3 linked regions of the Xenopus tropicalis genome follow. The protein of the gene in region 3 purifies or fractionates together with the protein of the main gene of each other region. This does not show direct contact. Links are inferred from orthologs where the notes say so. Each region holds a gene or a part of one and is shown on either strand. Other genes may lie near its edges.

The links.
Region 1: the proteins of rpa1 (region 3) and top3a purify together in Homo sapiens (affinity purification with mass spectrometry; 4 studies listed by BioGRID and IntAct, with this or other methods). This does not show direct contact. The link is inferred for Xenopus tropicalis from reciprocal best matches to the Homo sapiens genes RPA1 and TOP3A.
Region 2: the proteins of rpa1 (region 3) and smarcal1 purify together in Homo sapiens (affinity purification with mass spectrometry; 8 studies listed by BioGRID and IntAct, with this or other methods). This does not show direct contact. The link is inferred for Xenopus tropicalis from reciprocal best matches to the Homo sapiens genes RPA1 and SMARCAL1.

What each region holds. Positions count from the first base shown.
Region 1 is NC_030685.2:15,949,242-15,952,895, forward strand, and holds part of top3a (DNA topoisomerase 3-alpha), read left to right. Parts: intron 1-299; coding exon 300-375; intron 376-476; coding exon 477-585; intron 586-1,415; coding exon 1,416-1,559; intron 1,560-1,647; coding exon 1,648-1,818; intron 1,819-2,865; coding exon 2,866-2,966; intron 2,967-3,043; coding exon 3,044-3,118; intron 3,119-3,305; coding exon 3,306-3,388; intron 3,389-3,654. UniProt on the Homo sapiens protein: Releases the supercoiling and torsional tension of DNA introduced during the DNA replication and transcription by transiently cleaving and rejoining one strand of the DNA duplex.
Region 2 is NC_030685.2:86,339,342-86,342,995, forward strand, and holds part of smarcal1 (SWI/SNF-related matrix-associated actin-dependent regulator of chromatin subfamily A-like protein 1), read right to left. Parts: intron 1,919-3,654; coding exon 1,735-1,918; intron 1-1,734. UniProt on the Homo sapiens protein: ATP-dependent annealing helicase that binds selectively to fork DNA relative to ssDNA or dsDNA and catalyzes the rewinding of the stably unwound DNA. Rewinds single-stranded DNA bubbles that are stably bound by replication protein A (RPA).
Region 3 is NC_030678.2:36,027,970-36,031,623, reverse strand, and holds part of rpa1 (replication protein A 70 kDa DNA-binding subunit), read left to right. Parts: intron 1-982; coding exon 983-1,085; intron 1,086-2,992; coding exon 2,993-3,061; intron 3,062-3,154; coding exon 3,155-3,347; intron 3,348-3,430; coding exon 3,431-3,570; intron 3,571-3,654. UniProt on the Homo sapiens protein: As part of the heterotrimeric replication protein A complex (RPA/RP-A), binds and stabilizes single-stranded DNA intermediates that form during DNA replication or upon DNA stress.

The sequences.
Region 1 (3,654 bases), on a different chromosome or scaffold from region 3:
ATAGCAGTATAACTGGGGCCTTACAGTCAATTTGTCCTTTGGTTTTCATGGTCAAAGCTTGCGTGGTGGAAAGGGGGTTATGTAGTAAAAGGCATAGCAACCAATCAGCAGGTAGCATTTACTGGTCAGTGATCATCTTATTGGTTGCTGCTCCTGGGCAGTGGGGTGGGGGGAGAATTTGAAGGCTAAAAGATAAGGGGAACATCCTTTTCAATATATTATCATCCTTGCTAATACAAGGCTGGGTGTTACCTTGATCAGTGGAACTAGTAATATCTTCCTGTTCTTTCCCTTTCCAGGCACAGCTGCAACCCGGTGTCTCTGTTTGAGGCAGAGGTGCAGAAGTACTGCCCTGATGACTTTGTAAACATAAAGGTACATAGATATTGTGTCTTGCATATGATACAAACTCTATCACCTGGTCCCTACCCACCCACCCTAATGAGAATTACAGCAAGCTGTCCTATTGATTCCAGCGGACCCTGGAGCGGGAGGTGCGACAGTGTCAGGCTCTCATAATATGGACTGATTGTGACAGAGAGGGAGAAAACATTGGCTTTGAGATCATCCATGTCTGCAAATCAGGTAAGCTGCTGTACAAGCAGGGCGAACTCTTAAAGGGGTGGTTCACTTTATTTTATTTGCCGCCTTCTTCCAACTCTTTGTCGCTTTCAAACGGGGATCACTGACCCCCTGGCAGCCAAAAACTATTGCTCTGTTTTACAGTTTTATTGTTACTTTTTAATCTATTCAGTCCCTCCCTATTCTCGGTGTTTGACTGGCCCACCAGGATACCCGGAAAACTCCCGGTGGGCCCAGTTGTCAGTGGGCCCTTCTGCTCACCCAGCCATTTGCCTTGTATGCCTATACCATGGCCGTTACTCAATTCTATATGAGAATAAATAGAAGAAATGGAGGAAAGGATAGATAATAGTATGTAAAAAGAAGTAATTCAGGGACTAAAGAAAGGGGGAGAGTGGGCCTAAGGTCTAAGGTTTTCTGGTGGGCCCTTGGCTCCCCAGTCCAACACTGCCTCTCCTATTAATATATCTCTATTAATATATTAATAATGTCTCTCATTCAAACCACTTCCTGGTTGCTAAGGCAATTTGGACCCTAGCAACCAGATAGCTGTTATAACTCCCAAGAGTTAACTCAAATGTGAACTGCACCTTGAAGGAGAACTCTAATAAACAGCCCCTTCCATCTTTCTCTGCATTAGAATGTATGAGCTCAGTGCAGGGTATAACTTGATGGGAATAAACATCTGTAGCTTTGGCTGCCATACAGTCCTGGAGCTGTCAGGTGTTTGTTTATGATGGGCCAGATAGACACAGTTGTGAGTTATTAGCTATATTTGGTGTTAAACACCCATACAGTGCCTGTGCTTAGTTGTGTCTCTCATTCTGCGCTAGTCAAGCCAAACTTGCAGGTTTTCCGGGCCCGGTTCTCCGAGATCACTCCTCGTTCCATCCGGATGGCTTGTGAGCACCTGGTACAACCTGACCAGAACATCAGCGACGCGGTAGATGTACGAATGGAGCTTGACCTGCGGATAGGTGAGAATCAGCCATCTGTTTCGTCCCTTATCACCCGTGAATGTATTCATTCTACTCTATTCTATTGTTTTATTGATTGTTAATGCAGGTGCTGCTTTCACAAGGTTCCAAACCCTCCGCCTTCAGAAGATGTTTCCCTCTGTGCTGTCCAATCAGCTCATCAGCTACGGCAGCTGCCAGTTTCCCACCTTGGGGTTCGTGGTGGAGAGATTTAAAGCCATCCAGGCTTTTATTCCTGAAACCTTCTACAAGATTAAAGGTGCTTACTCATGGGAGAGAATTATTCATGCTGCTCTCAATTCCATTAAGCTGGCCATACGCGCACCGATGATATGTTTCATGCGATATCCGGTGCGTGTATGGCAGCTTGATGAGGCGACCGTTATCGCAAAAGGGTGCAGATATCTGTCGACTTGTCGATCGGCCAGGTTAAAAGATTTTGATTCTATCTCCATATCTGACTATTCAGCCCTGAACGTCAGTGGAGGGTGGGAACAATCTTTCCTGCAACCATTGGTCGAAAATTGCTACGTGTATGGCCACCTTTAGTCATCTTGTACAGTCTCTAATAATGGTGTGCTTGCTAAAGTCAACAGCTGGTATTTTATCTGCCACTAGTTATATGACAATCCGTACCTTGGTAACCGGGTATCTGACCCATAGAGAATGGTCATGTGTGGGTCGACCCATGCCTGGCAAGTCACCTCTATTTATAGTCACTGAGCTGACCTGCCCCATCTCTGATGTTACAAAGGGGGCCGGGTGCATGCACCTGTAAATTGAGGCTGCTGGAGGCAGAAGCCAGGCGAGTAAGGTCATAGGCAGAGAGGGCAAAAGGGAGAGCATAGCCTGAACCACAATCTGGAAATCACATGCGTTTGTCAGTCCAATCCCACCTACTCAATAGAACGATACAACACCCTTCCTCATCTGGTGCAAATTTCTGTAGTAATCACGTATTACAATATTTACCAAGTCTGTAATGAACAGCACCAATGAGGAGAGTTTCTTTGGTAATAAAAGGCCTTTTTTCTATTGTGGCCAAATCCTGGAAGGTACAAGCAAAGTTTCAGGCCCCAACTGGCCTTTCAAACTTCAAAAAAGGCTGGTTGAGCCCTGAAACTTTGCTTGTACCTTCCAGGATTTGGCCACAATGGACCCACCTGTCAGTGCCACAGGTTTTGGCCCGGCCCGACATCATTGATAGAGAGTACTGTGGTTTAAATACAGCTAGAAACATGCAGACTGCCCAGTCCAATAACCCATCCTTGGCTTTATCACTATTCTAGTTTTCTTGGTTCTTTAGTGACTCATGAACACGAAGATGGACTGGTGGAGTTTAGCTGGAAACGGAACCGTCTGTTTAACCACACGGCTTGCCTGGTTCTCTATCAGATCTGCATGGAGGTACAGGATTGATACAGAGCTAATTATATTCAGCTTGAATTCATTAAAACTGATCCAAAACTGTATTGTGCTTGTAGGATCCTATGGCTACTGTGATGGAGGTGGGAAGTAAACCAAAGAGCAAGTGGAGACCTGTGGCTTTAGACACTGTGGTATGGGCTCTTTTGTATAAACCGCTGGACTTTCTCGAGCTGTTATGTGATATATTCAGTAATGTCTGCCAGTGGGTCTCATAGCTTCACATGATGTTATAGATTCAGCATAGACAGGCCCATGGCCATGTTGCTTATAAAGTAATCAGTTCTGTAGTGTTCTCACTCCCCTCTCTGTGCTCTGTAGGAGCTGGAAAAGCTGGCATCCCGCAAGCTGAAAATTGGAGCCAAGGAAACCATGAAGGTGGCAGAGAAGCTTTATACTCAAGGGTAAGTCTGTGTTATTAATACACCCCTGTATTTACTGAACCCCGTGGGTAAAAAGATTGGCAACAGAATTGTAGATCCTTTAATTCCCCATGTGTCCCCCTTGCCACCTATATTAATAGCTGTTATATATGTATCGTCTTTACTGCCCCTGCATGTTATAAAAAGACCAATTCTAAACAGCTTTTCAACTGGTCTTTATTTATTTTTTATAGTTTTTTTTAATAATTTGCCTTCTTCTTCCAACTCTTTCCAGCTTTCAAATGGGG
Region 2 (3,654 bases), on a different chromosome or scaffold from region 3:
AGAGTTATCTCTCTCTCTGTACAGGCTATGAGTAAACTTAGGGGGCTGTTCCTGCTAAATTGTGCTTAGTACAGGGGAATCCCTATGTGCCATAGTTTTATGGTATCTCTCTGTACAGGCTATGAGTAAACTTAGGAGGCTGTTCCTGCTAAATTGTGCTTAGTACAGGGGAATCCCTATGTGCCATAGTTTTATGGTATCTCTCTGTACAGGCTATGAGCAAACTTAGGGGGCTGTTCCTGCTGAATTGTGCTTAGTACAGGGGAATCCCTATGTGCCATAGTTTTATGGTATCTCTCTGTACAGGCTATGAGCAAACTTAGGGGGCTGTTCCTGCTGAATTGTGCTTAGTACAGGGGAATCCCTATGTGCCATAGTTTTATGGTATCTCTCTGTACAGGCTATGAGCAAACTTAGGGGGCTGTTCCTGCTGAATTGTGCTTAGTACAGGGGAATCCCTATGTGCCATAGTTTTATGGTATCTCTCTGTACAGGCTATGAGCAAACTTAGGGGGCTGTTCCTGCTGAATTGTGCTTAGTACAGGGGAATCCCTATGTGCCATAGTTTTATGGTATCTCTCTGTACAGGCTATAAGCAAACTTAGCGGGCTGTTCCTGCTGAATTGTGCTTAGTACAGGGGAATCCCTATGTGCCATAGTTTTATGGTATCTCTCTGTACAGGCTATGAGCAAACTTAGGGGGCTGTTCCTGCTGAATTGTGCTTAGTACAGGGGAATCCCTATGTGCCATAGTTTTATGGTATCTCTCTGTACAGGCTATGAGCAAACTTAGGGGGCTGTTCCTGCTGAATTGTGCTTAGTACAGGGGAATCCCTATGTGCCATAGTTTTATGGTATCTCTCTGTACAGGCTATGGGCAAACTTAGCGGGCTGTTCCTGCTGAATTGTGCTTAGTACAGGGGAATCCCTATGTGCCATAGTTTTATGGTATCTCTCTGTACAGGCTATGGGCAAACTTAGGGGGCTGTTCCTGCTGAATTGTGCTTAGTACAGGGGAATCCCTATGTGCCATAGTTTTATGGTATCTCTCTGTACAGGCTATGAGCAAACTTAGGAGGAGACAGTATCATATAACGGCTCAGTAGTCAATAGACAGACATCGGGCAGCTTTGGGCACAGGGAAACTGCGCAGAGGGACGGACAGGAGAAATCACTGCTGATAGAGAATAACAAACATTTACTTATCCGCAGGCAGAACTTGGCTGTAGTTCCGATTTTAATGGCTTTCCAGCTCATTTGCCACCGGCAGCAAACTGGCACTGTGGGTAAAATCTGCGCTCCCTACGCCTGCTCATGAGTCGGAACAACAGTTCATTAAGTAAAGTACACGCGCTCCCAAGCAGTTCACTGGGTACAGACTAAGCAGGAGCCCCAGGTACAGGGAAGAAAGCGACTTCTGAGTCGGAACAGAGACTGCGCTGTGAAGCAGATACTGGGGCTCATTGCATAAGGGGGGCAATTCCTATGCCTGTAGGCTCCCCCCTATCATAAATGATCTTCAGGTGAGATAGAAGTCATTTCCCAAATTCTATGGGGCAAAGTAATTAAGAACCAGCCAGGAGAGCACAGCACTGCAGTAAGGCAAAGCTGACAGATTGGAATTACATTAGGCAAATATTTATTTGGGTTTACTTCCCCTTTAAGCACAGTGTCATTTCTGCTTTGGTTACCCCTGTATATATGGAGAGGAGGGGGGTATCTGCCCTCACTTACTTCACTCCGTCGCGCTGGAAGGGCATTAAGTTGCTGCCGAGCTTGGAATCCACTTGAGATAAATCCACTTCCGGAATCTCCTCGCGAATGATGGTGGTTTTTCCAAACTGCGGCGCGAAGGCTTGGAGCACCGGCCTGGGGAGCGGCTCCACTTCCACTTGCTGAATGTTCCGCACACTCTCCACTATGGGGGGATTCAATATGATCAGCTGGGGGGGGCTTATTATAGAGAAATCACATGACCCATAGAGTGTGGCATTAAAGGGATATCACCATTATCATGACCATTAAGGGAGCCCAGCCTGAAGGCCAGTTAGGGGGGGATTTGGGGTGAGTGCTTATTTGTGCCCTGGGTACCCCTGGAACTATAGTGGGGTGACTGTTACCCCAATGTTTCTATATATCTGTAACCTTGTTATGGGCTAAGGGGGCCCAGCCTGAAGGCCAGTTAGGGGGGGATTTGGGGTGAGTGCTTATTTGTGCCCTGGGTACCCCTGGAACTATAGCAGGGTGACTGTTACCCCAATGTTTCTATATATCTGTAACCTTGTTATGGGCTAAGGGGGCCCAGCCTGAAGGCCAGTTAGGGGGGGATTTGGGGTGAGTGCTTATTTGTGCCCTGGGTACCCCTGGAACTATAGCAGAGTGACTGTTACCCCAATGTTTCTATATATCTGTAACCTTGTTATGGGCTAAGGGGGCCCAGCCTGAAGGCCAGTTAGGGGGGGATTTGGGGTGAGTGCTTATTTGTGCCCTGGGTACCCCTGGAACTATAGCGGGGTGACTGTTACCCCAATGTTTCTATATATCTGTAACCTTGTTATGGGCTAAGGGGGCCCAGCCTGAAGGCCAGTTAGGGGGGGATTTGGGGTGAGTGCTTATTTGTGCCCTGGGTACCCCTGGAACTATAGCGGGGTGACTGTTACCCCAATGTTTCTATATATCTGTAACCTTGTTATGGGCTAAGGGGGCCCAGCCTGAAGGCCAGTTAGGGGGGGATTTGGGGTGAGTGCTTATTTGTGCCCTGGGTACCCCTGGAACTATAGCGGGGTGACTGTTACCCCAATGTTTCTATATATCTGTAACCTTGTTATGGGCTAAGGGGGCCCAGCCTGAAGGCCAGTTAGGGGGGGATTTGGGGTGAGTTCTTATTTGTGCCCTGGGTACCCCTGGAACTATAGCAGGGTGACTGTTACCCCAATGTTTCTATATATTTGTAACCTTGTTATGGGCTAAGGGGGCCCAGCCTGAAGGCCAGTTAGGGGGGGATTTGGGGTGAGTGCTTATTTGTGCCCTGGGTACCCCTGGAACTATAGCGGGGTGACTGTTACCCCAATGTTTCTATATATCTGTAACCTTGTTATGGGCTAAGGGGGCCCAGCCTGAAGGCCAGTTAGGGGGGATTTGGGGTGAGTGCTTATTTGTGCCCTGGGTACCCCTGGAACTATAGCGGGGTGACTGTTACCCCAGTTTCAGTGCTCGGGGCGTTTATACAGAACAGGACATTACTTTTCCAGCCGTTACTGCATTTCGAGCTCTGAAAGGCCGGGGTCACCTGAAATTGCCGACCTCTTGCAAGGAAGAAAGGGTTAACACTAACAGGGGGTGGGATACGTATGGGGGAGAACAAAAGGAGGCTTTTATGGCTTTGATCTGCTTATGGGTGAAATGAAACAGTGGTCAGTAATTGCTGCAATTTGCCTGCTTATTACATTGGCCGCTATTCACAGCAGGGAGAGAAAGCCAATTAGGTTGCGCCTCTCAGTGCCAGCCTGGCATTATCTCCTGCAATGACCCCTATTTATCTGTGAGTGGGCGGGCGCGAGGCTCACAGGGGAAATGTTAAGCCTCACAAACAGTTATTCAAGAAAAAATAACCCATTAATGGCAGGTAAATAAGTGAGTGTCTCTGGTAAGCAG
Region 3 (3,654 bases):
TTGCATTATATTGAATTGTTTTTGCATATAATCTGTTTTACAGAAAAGGAATGTTTTTAATCAATTTAATCTGGAATATGGAAAAATGTGTTCTTTTTTTCACATTGCTTTGTATTCCTGTCCTTCAGCCTGTGTACTTAACAATAATTTGCATATACATTTTCACAGGCATTTTAAGTAAGAACTGTAATTAAAAAGTCTACCAACCGACAATTGCATTAATTGTGTACAATGAAATATTGGAGTCATTTCACCAGTTCCATTTCATACTATAAAACACTTTTAATAATGAAGCTTCACTCTTTTGTGGGCCTGATTTAACCCACACCCATTAACATGTGTACATCATTTTGCAACAATGTAGTCTTGGCACTGTAGCTAGGCTAGAAGATATATTTGTTACACTGTTAACTACTTTGCTTTTATTCATTTTTTTTCTTTGCAAACACGTTTCATATTCATGCTTATCCTTGTTCCCTGTACATTAGCACAGATTATTGCAGTTAGGAACACATGACCCACTCTGACCATTTATTTCCTAGCATTACATTAAAATAGGAGGTATTATCTGCACATTAGACAATTTCCACAATGGTTGTTTCAGTGTAAACCTTGTTTAAAGTATTGAATTTTCTTTCCAAGGAGGCTGCATTATGCTACGGGATAATAGGGATCTTTTGCGTACTGCAAGCAATTGATTTGATTTGTTGGCTGTGCTAGAGTTTGTAAAAGCTTCCTGTGGTACAACACACTTACTGCCTCTGGAAAGCGCTTGACTCTCTGCATAGACAGTACCTTGCCAGCAAGTCATTTCCTGAGCAAGCTTTCTGCCTCCTTTGTTTGCCTGTCTCATTGCCCAAGCTCATTTGGAGGCTTGCCCTGTTCATAAAAATGAAAAAGTGCAAATAAAAAGGGTCTAAACCCTGATTAAGAATATTGTCATTTTACTGCTAATAAACACTAACATTTCTGTCTTTTTAAGGTGGACTGTTCGTGCTAGAGTTACCAATAAAGGTCAGATCCGCACATGGAGCAACTCCCGAGGGGAAGGGAAGCTATTTTCAATTGAGATGGTGGATGAGAGTGTAAGCAGGCTGTGCTAATTTGTTTCTTTTACTCTCTCATGTGATATGGATTTCTAAAGTGATTTAGCCTTTTCCATATCATAGATGTCATTTCAAAATCAGACTGGAAAGGTTATAGCCATTAGAATTCTTACAGGCTGTTTTTCAGTGATTATTTTAGTTTTTATCAAATAAATTTGAACCTCTAGTCATAATTTAAAAAATTAACACCGAAAATAATCCACAGAAATTATTTTTTGGGGTTGTAACTGGTAAAAATAATTCTTAAATAGAACAATAATACTAAATTTGTTTTGCAGATTTAATAAAAAGCAACTTTTGGTAATTTAGATAAAAACCTTCATTTGCATAGCTGTTTTTACGCCCACTCATGATTAATATATAGTGCTATTCTGTTCTGCAATCAAGCAGTATCTTTGCGTGCATAGTCAGTAACTACACTTAAAGGGGTTGTTCAACTTAAAATTAACTTATAGTATGGTGTAGAGCTTGATATTCTATGACGATTTGCAATTGGTCTTGACTTTATTTTCTGCGTTAATTATTTAGCTTATAGTTCAGCAACTCTCCAATTTAGAATTTCAACAATTCAATTTCTGTTTGCTAAGGTTTTAAATGTCCTAGCAAATGGCCAGTGGTTTCAATTTGAAACTTGAAAATTAATAGGAGAGGGGCTGAATATGAAGCTGAAAAGAGTCTGAAGAAAAAGACAATTCAAAATGTACTAATAGTTACTTAAACGTGAACCACCCCTTTAACCTCCACTTCATACACATACCTTTGTATAATTTAGTTCAGTTTATCAATAAGCAAATTTTTGTGGCCATGCATGGATTTGCTGCGAAATTCCTCATTTCACTGTTGCCAATTTTTTGCTGCAAAGATTTGTCGCAACTAAAAATTTCCAGGGAAAAATGCCCATAGCCTTTACTGTATTTGAAGTGAGAAAAAAGTAAAGAAAAAGTCATGTATGTAAAAAATTGCACGTTCACATTTTGTGAATATTTCGGCCAAGCCGAATAAGCCGCGTTTGCTCATCTCTACCCTTTGCAGATTAGATCCGCTGTCAGTACTCAGACCGCATTGCTGTGTCCCTAGTGGAACTAGCTGTTTATTTAATTCTCAGTTATCAAGTTATACTACAGCATTTTAACTGTGCTAGTCGGACCAGAATTTGTTTTGATGCAGGGAGGGATATTCTCACGAGTGAGTTCAGGCATTGGCAGCTACAGCTCCTTTTCTCAATTTCCAAAGCTGCCTGCGAATGTTCCCCTGCTTCAGAGGCAGACTGCTAGCTTTTGTTTTGCCCTTCTAACCTTCTTAATGATTTGAGTAGGGCAGGACTCGTCATTCTTTCTATTCTTGGTCACTCGCAAAAGAACGCAGTGACTAAAATGTTTTTCTGTGCAGATGTTGTTTCTCTGATGCAAGAACAAATCTGTTATCAAATAATTAGCTCTCCTTGCCCTGGGTAAAGAGGGGGTGGATGAGTCATCTCGGAGCCTGGGCAGCGAATGCAAGTGGTGACATCTTTGTCATCAATTAGGTACTAACTATTTCATAGCCCACACATCACGTGCTGTCTTAAGCTAATTAGTAAGTCATCTACATTGTCATTAACGAGGCACAATATCTTCATACATGGGATGCAAGTGTGTGTAAATAGAAGTTACATGGTCATTCTGTTATACCAGCTAATAAGAGAAACACCAGACTATAGTTTTCATCATGTGCCAAGTGTTAATGAGACTTGCACTGAGCCGACCAGGCATCACTGTATTGTCTGGAATTCTCACTTCCTTGCCATCTCTATAAAAACATTTTAAGGTTGAGCTCCAATGTAGTAAATCTTTGTAGTCTGACATTGCAATATAGGTCAGTTCACTGCTGCCTTTATTTTTCTACAGGGTGAGATCCGAGCTACAGCTTTCAATGAGCAAGCTGACAAGTTCTTTTCCCTTATTGAAGTCAACAAGGTAATTTTCTTTGTTTTTTCCCCCTTACTTGAGAAGTGAAAGACTTAGACTCTCTGCTACTTTATTATGACCTTGCATTCTCCATCTGCCTAGGTGTATTACTTCTCCAAAGGCACACTAAAAATTGCTAACAAGCAGTACACCTCTGTGAAGAACGACTATGAGATGACTTTCAACAGTGAGACGTCTGTTATTCCCTGTGATGACTCTGCTGATGTCCCAATGGTGCAGTTTGAATTTGTACCCATTGGTGAATTAGAAAGCAAGAATAAAGATACTGTATTAGGTCTGTATAGACTTAATTACTAGGATTATTTTCTTCCTTGTCTGTTGCTTTCTTATACTAACATTTTTACATTTGACCTACAGATATCATAGGGATATGCAAAAACGCTGAAGAGGTAACCAAGGTCACAATAAGATCTAACAACAGAGAAGTTTCTAAGAGAAACATTAATTTAATGGATTCATCTGGTAAAGTGGTCTCAACAACTCTGTGGGGTGAAGATGTAAGTTTCTGCAATTACACTGGTACACCTTTTAATTATGTTTACATCATTGTTTTGTAGTCACTTCAAATGTAAGGCATGGTT